Linked DNA regions of Macaca mulatta. The protein of the gene in region 1 purifies or fractionates together with the protein of each later gene. This does not show direct contact. Links are inferred from orthologs where the notes say so. Each region holds a gene or a part of one and is shown on either strand. Other genes may lie near its edges.

Region 1 (3,560 bases):
TGGCGTGGGAGAGCCTGGGGGTGACCCGTTCACAGATGCTGGGATCCGTCCATTCCAATGGGGCAAACAGGAAAGACAAAGGGAAACATCCTGTTTTTAGTTACCAAAATAGCATGTACAGGCCAGGCGCAATAGTTCAAGTCCTGTAATCCCAGCACTTTGGGAGGTCAAGGCGGGTGGATCACTTGAGGTCAGGAGTTTGAGACAAGCCTGACCAACATGGTAAAACTGTCTCTACCAAAAAATACAAAAATTAGCTGGGCATGGTGGTGAGCACCTGTAGTCCCAGCTACTCGTGCGGTTGAGACATTAGGATCACTTGAACCCAGGAGGTAGAGGTTGCAGTGAGCCGAGATTGCGCCATTGCACTCCAGCTTGGGCAACAGAGTGAGACCCTGTCTCAAAAAAAAAAAAAAAAAAAAAAAAAAAAAGCATGTCTAGCCTGGGCAAAATCATGAGACCCTTCTCTACTAAGAATAATTTTACACATTAGCTGAGTATGGTGGTGCATGCCTGTAGTCCTAGCTACTTGGGAGGCTGAGGCAGGAGGACTGCTTTGAGCCCAGGAGTTTGAGGCTGCAGTGAGCTGTGACTGTGCCACTGCACTCCGGCCTGGGTGACAGAGCGAGACCCTGCCACAAACAGACAAACATGTTTTTTGTAGAAGAAAGATCTAAATCCTGGTTCTGCTGCCTGCTAACTCCCAGCAGGTTGAAATCACTCTGCACCTCAGTTTCCTCATCTATAGAATCAAGATGATGCTGCCTACTTCACAGGGTTGCTGGGGGCTCAACTGACATAATGCATATAAAGAACAAGGCCGGGCGAGGCTGAGGTGGGTGGATTGCTTGAGCCCAGGAGTTTGAGACCAGTCTGGGCAACACGGTGGAAACCTGTCTCTACAAAAAAAAAATATAAAAATTAGTTGGGCACATTGGCATGCGTCTGTAGTCCCAGGTACCTGGGAGAATCGATTGAGTCCCGGAGGTTGGGGCTGCAGCTCCAGCCTGGGGGACAGAAACCCTGCCTCAAACAAACAAACAAACAAACAAAAAAGAACAAGCACAGTACTGGCACATAGTACATACTGTATAGATGGCAATTCCTCACTTCCTCCGACTTGGAGGGTATCTTGTGGTTAAGACCATGAGTCAGGTGAGCCCCAGCTGGGGGATCAGCTGGGGGACCTGCCAAACACCCAGTGAGAATTCAATGGGCAGTGGCTCTGGCACTACCCATCTACTGAACTCAACAGAGGTGCCCTGGGCTTCTGCGAGCTCCCAGGCCAGGCCAGGCCTATGCCCACAGCAGGCACCGAGCTGACTGCCCAAGGCAGCTCTCCTGCCTGCCTGGCTCTGGAGAGGTAGGAAGCAGGCAGGCCTCCCTTTAGGTGTGTCTGAGGGTAGGTTGTGGGGCAAGGCACTAGAAAGGGGCCCACTAAGGCCCAAGGCCTCATTGGAGCCCCTGAGGACCAGGGTCCTCAGGCTGGGCTGGCAAGCAAGGGGCAGCCCACTCACCTCTGGGCCTCGCGGTCGTCCTTAGGTGTATAGTTGGCCAAGCAGTCCAGGATGAAGATCTGGCCCCACTCGGTGCACTCGTTCAGGGCTGTCAGCAGCTTGTTGATGGACTGTGGGTTCAGATCGAGCAGGTTGCTGCTGGGGTGAGACTCGGCGATTTCTGAGAGCGCTGCCACCGCGTTGGCCACCACCTGGTTGAGAGGGTAGAAGGGGCAGAGGCTGGGGGTGCTGCTCACAGGCCACGGGGCGGTGGGCTAATGATGCTGGCTGGTCAGAGGTCAAATATCCTGAAAGGAATATGACCCAATGGGCAGGGTCTGGAGCTGCAACGAGACCCACTCCAAGCACTCACCCTGCTGACTCCTCTGCAAACTGGAACAAAACCAAGTATGCCTGCCATTTAGAAAAACAAGAAAGACCTGGGTCCAAGTGCCTAGCCATAGAAAGCATTCCCAGCTTTTTTTTTTTTTTTTTTTTTTAATTTATTTATTATTATTATACTTTAAGTTGTAGGGTACATGTGCATAACGTGCAGGTTTGTTACATATGTATACTTGTGCCTTGTTGGTGTGCTGCACCCATCAACTCGTCATTTACATCAGGTATAACTCCCAATGCAATCCCTCCCCCCTCCCCCCTCCCCCCTCCCCCCTCCCCATGATAGGCCCCGGTGTGTGATGTTCCCCTTCCTGAGTCCAAGTGATCTCATTGTTCAGTTCCCACCTATGAGTGAGAACATGCGGTGTTTGGTTTTCTGTTCTTGTGATAGTTTGCTAAGAATGATGGTTTCCAGCTGCATCCATGTCCCTACAAAGGACACAAACTCATCCTTTTTTATGGCTGCATAGTATTCCATGGTGTATATGTGCCACATTTTCTTAATCCAATCTGTCACTGATGGACATTTGGCATTCCCAGCTTCTTAACACAGCAGCCCCTGTCTACCAGCAACAGCAGCTCACTTCAATGCTTGTCAGCTGTGCTTCTCAGAGCTAGGGGATTCCTGCCGATCTCCTTGAGGCTACTGGGAGTGGATGGGGGTTGGAAAAGAGGAGCTTGCCAGGTGAAGCTCCAGGCCCTCAATCCATTTCCACTACAGCAGGTGTTTTGGTTTTTTGCTTGTTTGTTTGTTTTTGAGACAGAGTCGTGCTCTGTCACCCAGGTTGGAGTGTAGTGGTGTGATCTCAGCTCACTGGAACCTCCACCTCTTGGGTTCAAGTGTTTCTCATGCCTCAATCTCCCGAGTAGCTGGGATTGATTACAGGCATGCACCACTACACCCGGCTAATTTTTGTATTTTTAGTAGAGATGGGGTTTCACTATGTTGGCCAGGCTGGTCTCAGAGTCCTGACCTCAGGTGATCCTCCCGCCTCAGCTTCCCAAAGTGCTAGGATTACAGGTGTGAGCCACTGCACATAGCCTGTTTTTGTTGCTGTTGTTGTTTTGATATGGAGTCTCGCTGTGTTGCCCAGTCTGGAGTGCAGTGGTGCATCTTAGCTTACTGCAACATCTGCCTCCCGGGCTCAAGCAATCCTCCTGCCTCAGCCTCCTGAGTAGCTGGGATTACAGGCACGCACCACCATGTGCAGCTAATTTTTGTATTTTTAGTAGGGATGGGGTTTCGCCATGTTGGCCAGGCTGGTCTTGAATTCCTGACCTCAGGTGATCCATCCCCCTCAGCCTCCCAAAGTGCTGGGATTACAGGCATGTAATCCTGTATGAGTCACTGCACCTGGTTTCAGGCAGCTGTTTTCGTTTTTTTTTTTTTTTTTTTTTTTTTTTTTTTTTTTTTTTGAGATGTAGTCTAGCTCTGTCACCAGGCTGGAATACAGTGGTGCAATCTTGGCTCACTGCAACCTCTGACTCCCCGGGTTAAAGTTATTCTCCTGCTTCAGCCTCCCGAGTAGCTGGGATTACAGGCACATGCCACCACACCCAGCTAATTTTCGTATTTTGAGTAGAGACGGGGTTTCACCATGTTGGCCAGGATAGTCTCAATCTCCTGACCTTGTGATCCACCTGCCTCAGCCTCCCAAAGTGCTG
Region 2 (4,147 bases), on another chromosome or scaffold:
TGAAGAAGGAGTGATTGAATGCCGGGCAAGGGACAGGCTGCGCTGCTGTGGCTCCCTAGCCTGAGGGGCCTGCTGTCCCTCTGAGGCCTAGTGAAAAAGCTGCAGGAGGTGCATCCTCCACCTCTAATCTTGGAGGCTATTAGCTCACCTCCAAGCACTGAGCTGGGTTCCTGCCCAATTCCATCCTTCCCTGAGGGAGAGAAGGGAAGTGAAAAGTAGAATAACTCCCTACCATTTCCCTCTTTTTCTCCTCATCGGCCAGCCCCTCCTCCAGCCCCCTCTGGTGGCATGCCATGCCAAGAGCAACGTGTAAAGGAACAGAGAATATCCAATGCAGTCAAGTCCACCCCGCCCAGACTTTGCCACTGCCTTCTCCCACCCTTCTGTCTCCCCCACAATAGTTTATTTGGTTGGTCTGGACTCACTTGTGGCCTTTGATTAAATTCCTAAGGGGCCTGAAGAAGACATTTCTACTGCAGAGGGTTAGAGGCACTTGAGCAAGGCCCCCACACCCCAACTCTGGGAGTTGTGGTCGGGGGAGGCACTTCTTGGGGATAGGACCAGACAAGATAACAGGAGCTCACAAGGAAGCAGAAGCTGTGACAAGTTTAGTAGTCTCAAAATGGGTTATGTCCCTTCCCCCTTCACATCAGAATCTTGTGAAATGGGAAAACAACAGAAGGAGGGGATCAAAGAAAGCTGATCTCACATGCTTCCCAGGCAGGGCAGAGGTGGGAGTCAAACCTGGGTGACAGGTGGGTGGAGAGCCCTGTTTGAGGTTGTGGTTGATCCCTCTCTGGTATTAGCTTTTCCCCTGGGAGCAGGAAGCCCTAGGAAGAGGGGACTGTAGGGTCCCCAGGGGATCTTTCCTCCCTCCCCTGCATGAGGCAGAGGCAAGCTGCCTGCCAACCCCCTCCCTCAAGGAATGGCCTTGCCCGGGAATGCCCACCACACATACCCTCTTTTTTTCTAGTCAAACTCTGTTTATTCCTTGGCTTGCCTCCCTCCTTCCTCCCCTCTCAACCTTTACTTCTGATTTCTATTTCATGGAATTTGGGATTGAAGTTAAACTACAACAGTGCCGCCAACACCAAGTCTTGCAGGAAAAAAATACAAAGAAATTTAACAAAAAAAAAATATATTAATAAAAAAGTTCAAAAAAGGGGGGGGATTGTCATCTCCTTTGGGGTGCGATGGCTTCAAATCCAAACTGAGGCTCTCCGGGTGGTGACGATGTGCGAGGAGGCCTCTTGAAGAACTCCAGGCCTATCATGCTGTCTGTCCGCTAAAGCCTGAGGCTCGAGGTCAGAGGATCCAGGAAGGCTCTGCAGTCGGCCCAGGAGGGCGGGGTCCCGTGGTGGAGGCGGGGAGAGGGAAGGACCGCACTGATCACCAACCCCTGCTCTGCCCCGTACCAGGAAGCGCTGGGGGGCAGAGGAGCGGAGTTGAGGCAGAAGCCAGGTGAGGCTGGAGTCGTGGGGGTAGGCAGGCTGTCGCTGCCGCTGCCTGAGATGGAAATCGGGGGAGGAAGCTCGCGGAAGAAACAGCGGAGGGTCGTGGAAAGAAAGCAATGGCTAAGCTAGGGATGGGGTACCAGGTAGGGGGAGGAAACGGGAGAAATAGGTGGGGCTCCAGCGCATGCTCAATAGGAAGGGGCGCCGGTAGGGTGTCGACGCATGCGTAGTGGGCTTCTCGGGCGGTGGGGTGGTCGCGGAATTTGGAGACCTACTTCGGGAAAGGTAAAATGCGGGAGCAATTTTAGGGTACCTGTGGGACCTGGGCTCTTAGGGTCCTGACACAGGACGCGCCTGGGCCGAAAACCCAGGCACGCCCGGCCAGAGAGTGTTTCTTCACTCCCGGACTCTGCCAGTCAGAATGGTGGCGCCTTCGCTGAAGCTTCAGGACCTCATCGAAGAGATTCGCGGGGCCAAGACTCAGGCCCAGGAGCGGGAGGTGATCCAAAAGGAGTGCGCCCACATCCGGGCCTCCTTCCGCGATGGGGACCCAGTGCACAGGCACCGGCAGCTGGCCAAACTGCTCTACGTCCACATGTTGGGCTACCCCGCCCACTTTGGACAGGTACTGGCCAGGAATACCTCCCTCCTGAGCTTGATGAAGGCTAGTGGGGCAGAGTCACGGACTCTCTCACCTGTTTATGCCCTGGTTTTTAAAATTCTACAATTTCAGAGTCATCACAGGCTGCACTGCAAACCTCTTTCCCCATTGCTACCCCTACTGGTCATCATCTGGCCTGAACCCTTCATTCTCTGGCCAGCCTCGTTTAGGGCAGGCACCTCCTCCTTTCCTCTCCCATCCTCCTCAACTCCTAGTTCCTCCTACCCACTAACGCCTGAATTTCCTAAGCTTCTCCTCTTGTTGAAGGGAGAGTGATGAGATAGGATGCCCCACAGGTTAATCTGGTTTTAAAGAGGAAGATGGAACAGGGATGTGAGTGTCTGTGGTTTCACCCCTGCCTCTTCCTGGTTTGCCCCCTTGACTATAGATGGAGTGCCTGAAACTGATCGCCTCCTCCAGATTCACAGACAAGAGGGTGGGCTACCTGGGGGCCATGCTTCTATTGGATGAGAGGCACGATGCCCACCTGCTCATTACCAACAGCATCAAGAAGTGAGAGGGTTCTGGCAATCACTTGGAATCAGGGAGATGGGAGAGTAGGGACCTTGGAAATCCCAGGGGACTGCCTGTTGTGGGTATTGAAAAGGACTGATTTTCTCAGAGGTTTGACTGACCGTCCTCCCAAACCCTGCAGTGACCTGAGCCAGGGGATTCAGCCAGTACAAGGCCTGGCCTTGTGCACTTTGAGCACCATGGGCTCTGCTGAGATGTGCCGAGACCTGGCCCCAGAGGTGGAGAAACTGCTCCTGCAGCCCAGTCCCTACGTGCGCAAGAAGGTGAGATGGTGGGACTCCTGGCACTTGCTCCTGCAGATACTGCCTGCTGTGTGCCATATAGTAGTAGATGCAGGGGTCAATCCCCTCTGACCCCTGTCTGAGGCCCCGGACCTCTGCAGGCTATTCTGACTGCAGTGCACATGATCCGGAAGGTCCCTGAACTCTCCAGCGTCTTCCTCCCACCCTGTGTCCACCTGCTTCACGAGCGTCACCATGGTAAGGCTGTGGGGCTCCCCATCCTTTGCTTCAGCTCTGTGGACAGAAGAATTGAAAATTGGATGGGAACACCAGCTCATAGGAGAAGGGTAGCGGACACACACAGGCACACACGCAATAGACTCTCTTGCCCCTGGCCCCCACCATTCACTTCCCCGACCCTGACCCCAGGCATCCTGCTGGGCACCATCACGCTGATCACGGAGCTCTGCGAACGAAGCCCTGCAGCCCTCAGGCACTTCCGAAAGGTGGGCTGGTGAAGGGGCAGGCCCTGGGCCTGAAGAGAGGGTCAGTGGGGAAGGAATGGGGCTTTAGCTGGAGAGGATTAGAACAAATGCCCAAAGTTGTGCCCTCCCTCCAGGTGGTACCCCAGCTGGTACAGATCCTCCGGACTCTGGTGACAACGGGATACTCCACAGAACACAGCATATCTGGAGTCAGCGACCCCTTCCTGCAGGTGGGGTGACCTTTCACTGCTGTATCCCTGGAACAGAGAGGGCATAGCAGTAAGACCATGACCAGTGGTCTCCTCCAAGAGAACACTGGCCCTCTCAGTGTCCTGGGCAGCAGAATAGCAGGCACAGGATTGCTCAGGTCATCCCAGGACCTGTGAGGGGAGAGAGAATGCCTAAAAGTCAGGAAAATACAGTTTGGTAACAATTTTTTTTTAAGCCTGTCCTAAACTCCCCTGGCCTCAGACACCTCTGTTCCCCTCCCAGGACCAAGGGACCTGTGGAGGTGAGGAGGTGTGGGGAGGATCTAGGGAGCGAGCCAGACCCTCACAGTGCTCTCCTCCATGTTAGAGTTTTCTCCTCAGCTCCATGACTCCTTATCCTGTGAACCCCTTCACCTTTCAATTTTCAACCCAACCTCAGGTCCAGATACTTCGTCTGCTTCGGATCCTGGGCCGGAACCACGAGGAGAGCAGTGAGACCATGAATGACTTGCTGGCCCAGGTCGGGGCTGGGAGGAGGGCACTGGTTAGCTGTGTTGCTTGGAGACCCCACCAGCCCTGGGTG

The links. Proteins that work in one complex are often made in the same cells at the same time.
Region 2: the proteins of AP1B1 (region 1) and AP1G2 fractionate together in Homo sapiens (co-fractionation; 3 studies listed by BioGRID and IntAct, with this or other methods). This does not show direct contact. The link is inferred for Macaca mulatta from reciprocal best matches to the Homo sapiens genes AP1B1 and AP1G2.

The regions. Positions count from the first base shown.
Region 1 is NC_133415.1:22,198,365-22,201,924, reverse strand, and holds part of AP1B1 (AP-1 complex subunit beta-1), read right to left. Parts: intron 1,746-3,560; coding exon 1,518-1,745; intron 39-1,517; coding exon 1-38. UniProt on the Homo sapiens protein: Subunit of clathrin-associated adaptor protein complex 1 that plays a role in protein sorting in the late-Golgi/trans-Golgi network (TGN) and/or endosomes.
Region 2 is NC_133412.1:96,663,518-96,667,664, reverse strand, and holds the start of AP1G2 (AP-1 complex subunit gamma-like 2), read left to right. Parts: upstream 1-1,347; 5' UTR 1,348-1,461; intron 1,462-1,644; exon of another isoform or gene 1,645-1,739; intron 1,740-1,767; exon of another isoform or gene 1,768-1,874; 5' UTR 1,875-1,875; coding exon 1,876-2,079; intron 2,080-2,503; coding exon 2,504-2,628; intron 2,629-2,770; coding exon 2,771-2,912; intron 2,913-3,031; coding exon 3,032-3,376; intron 3,377-3,489; coding exon 3,490-3,585; intron 3,586-4,003; coding exon 4,004-4,084; coding exon of another isoform or gene 4,085-4,108; intron 4,109-4,147.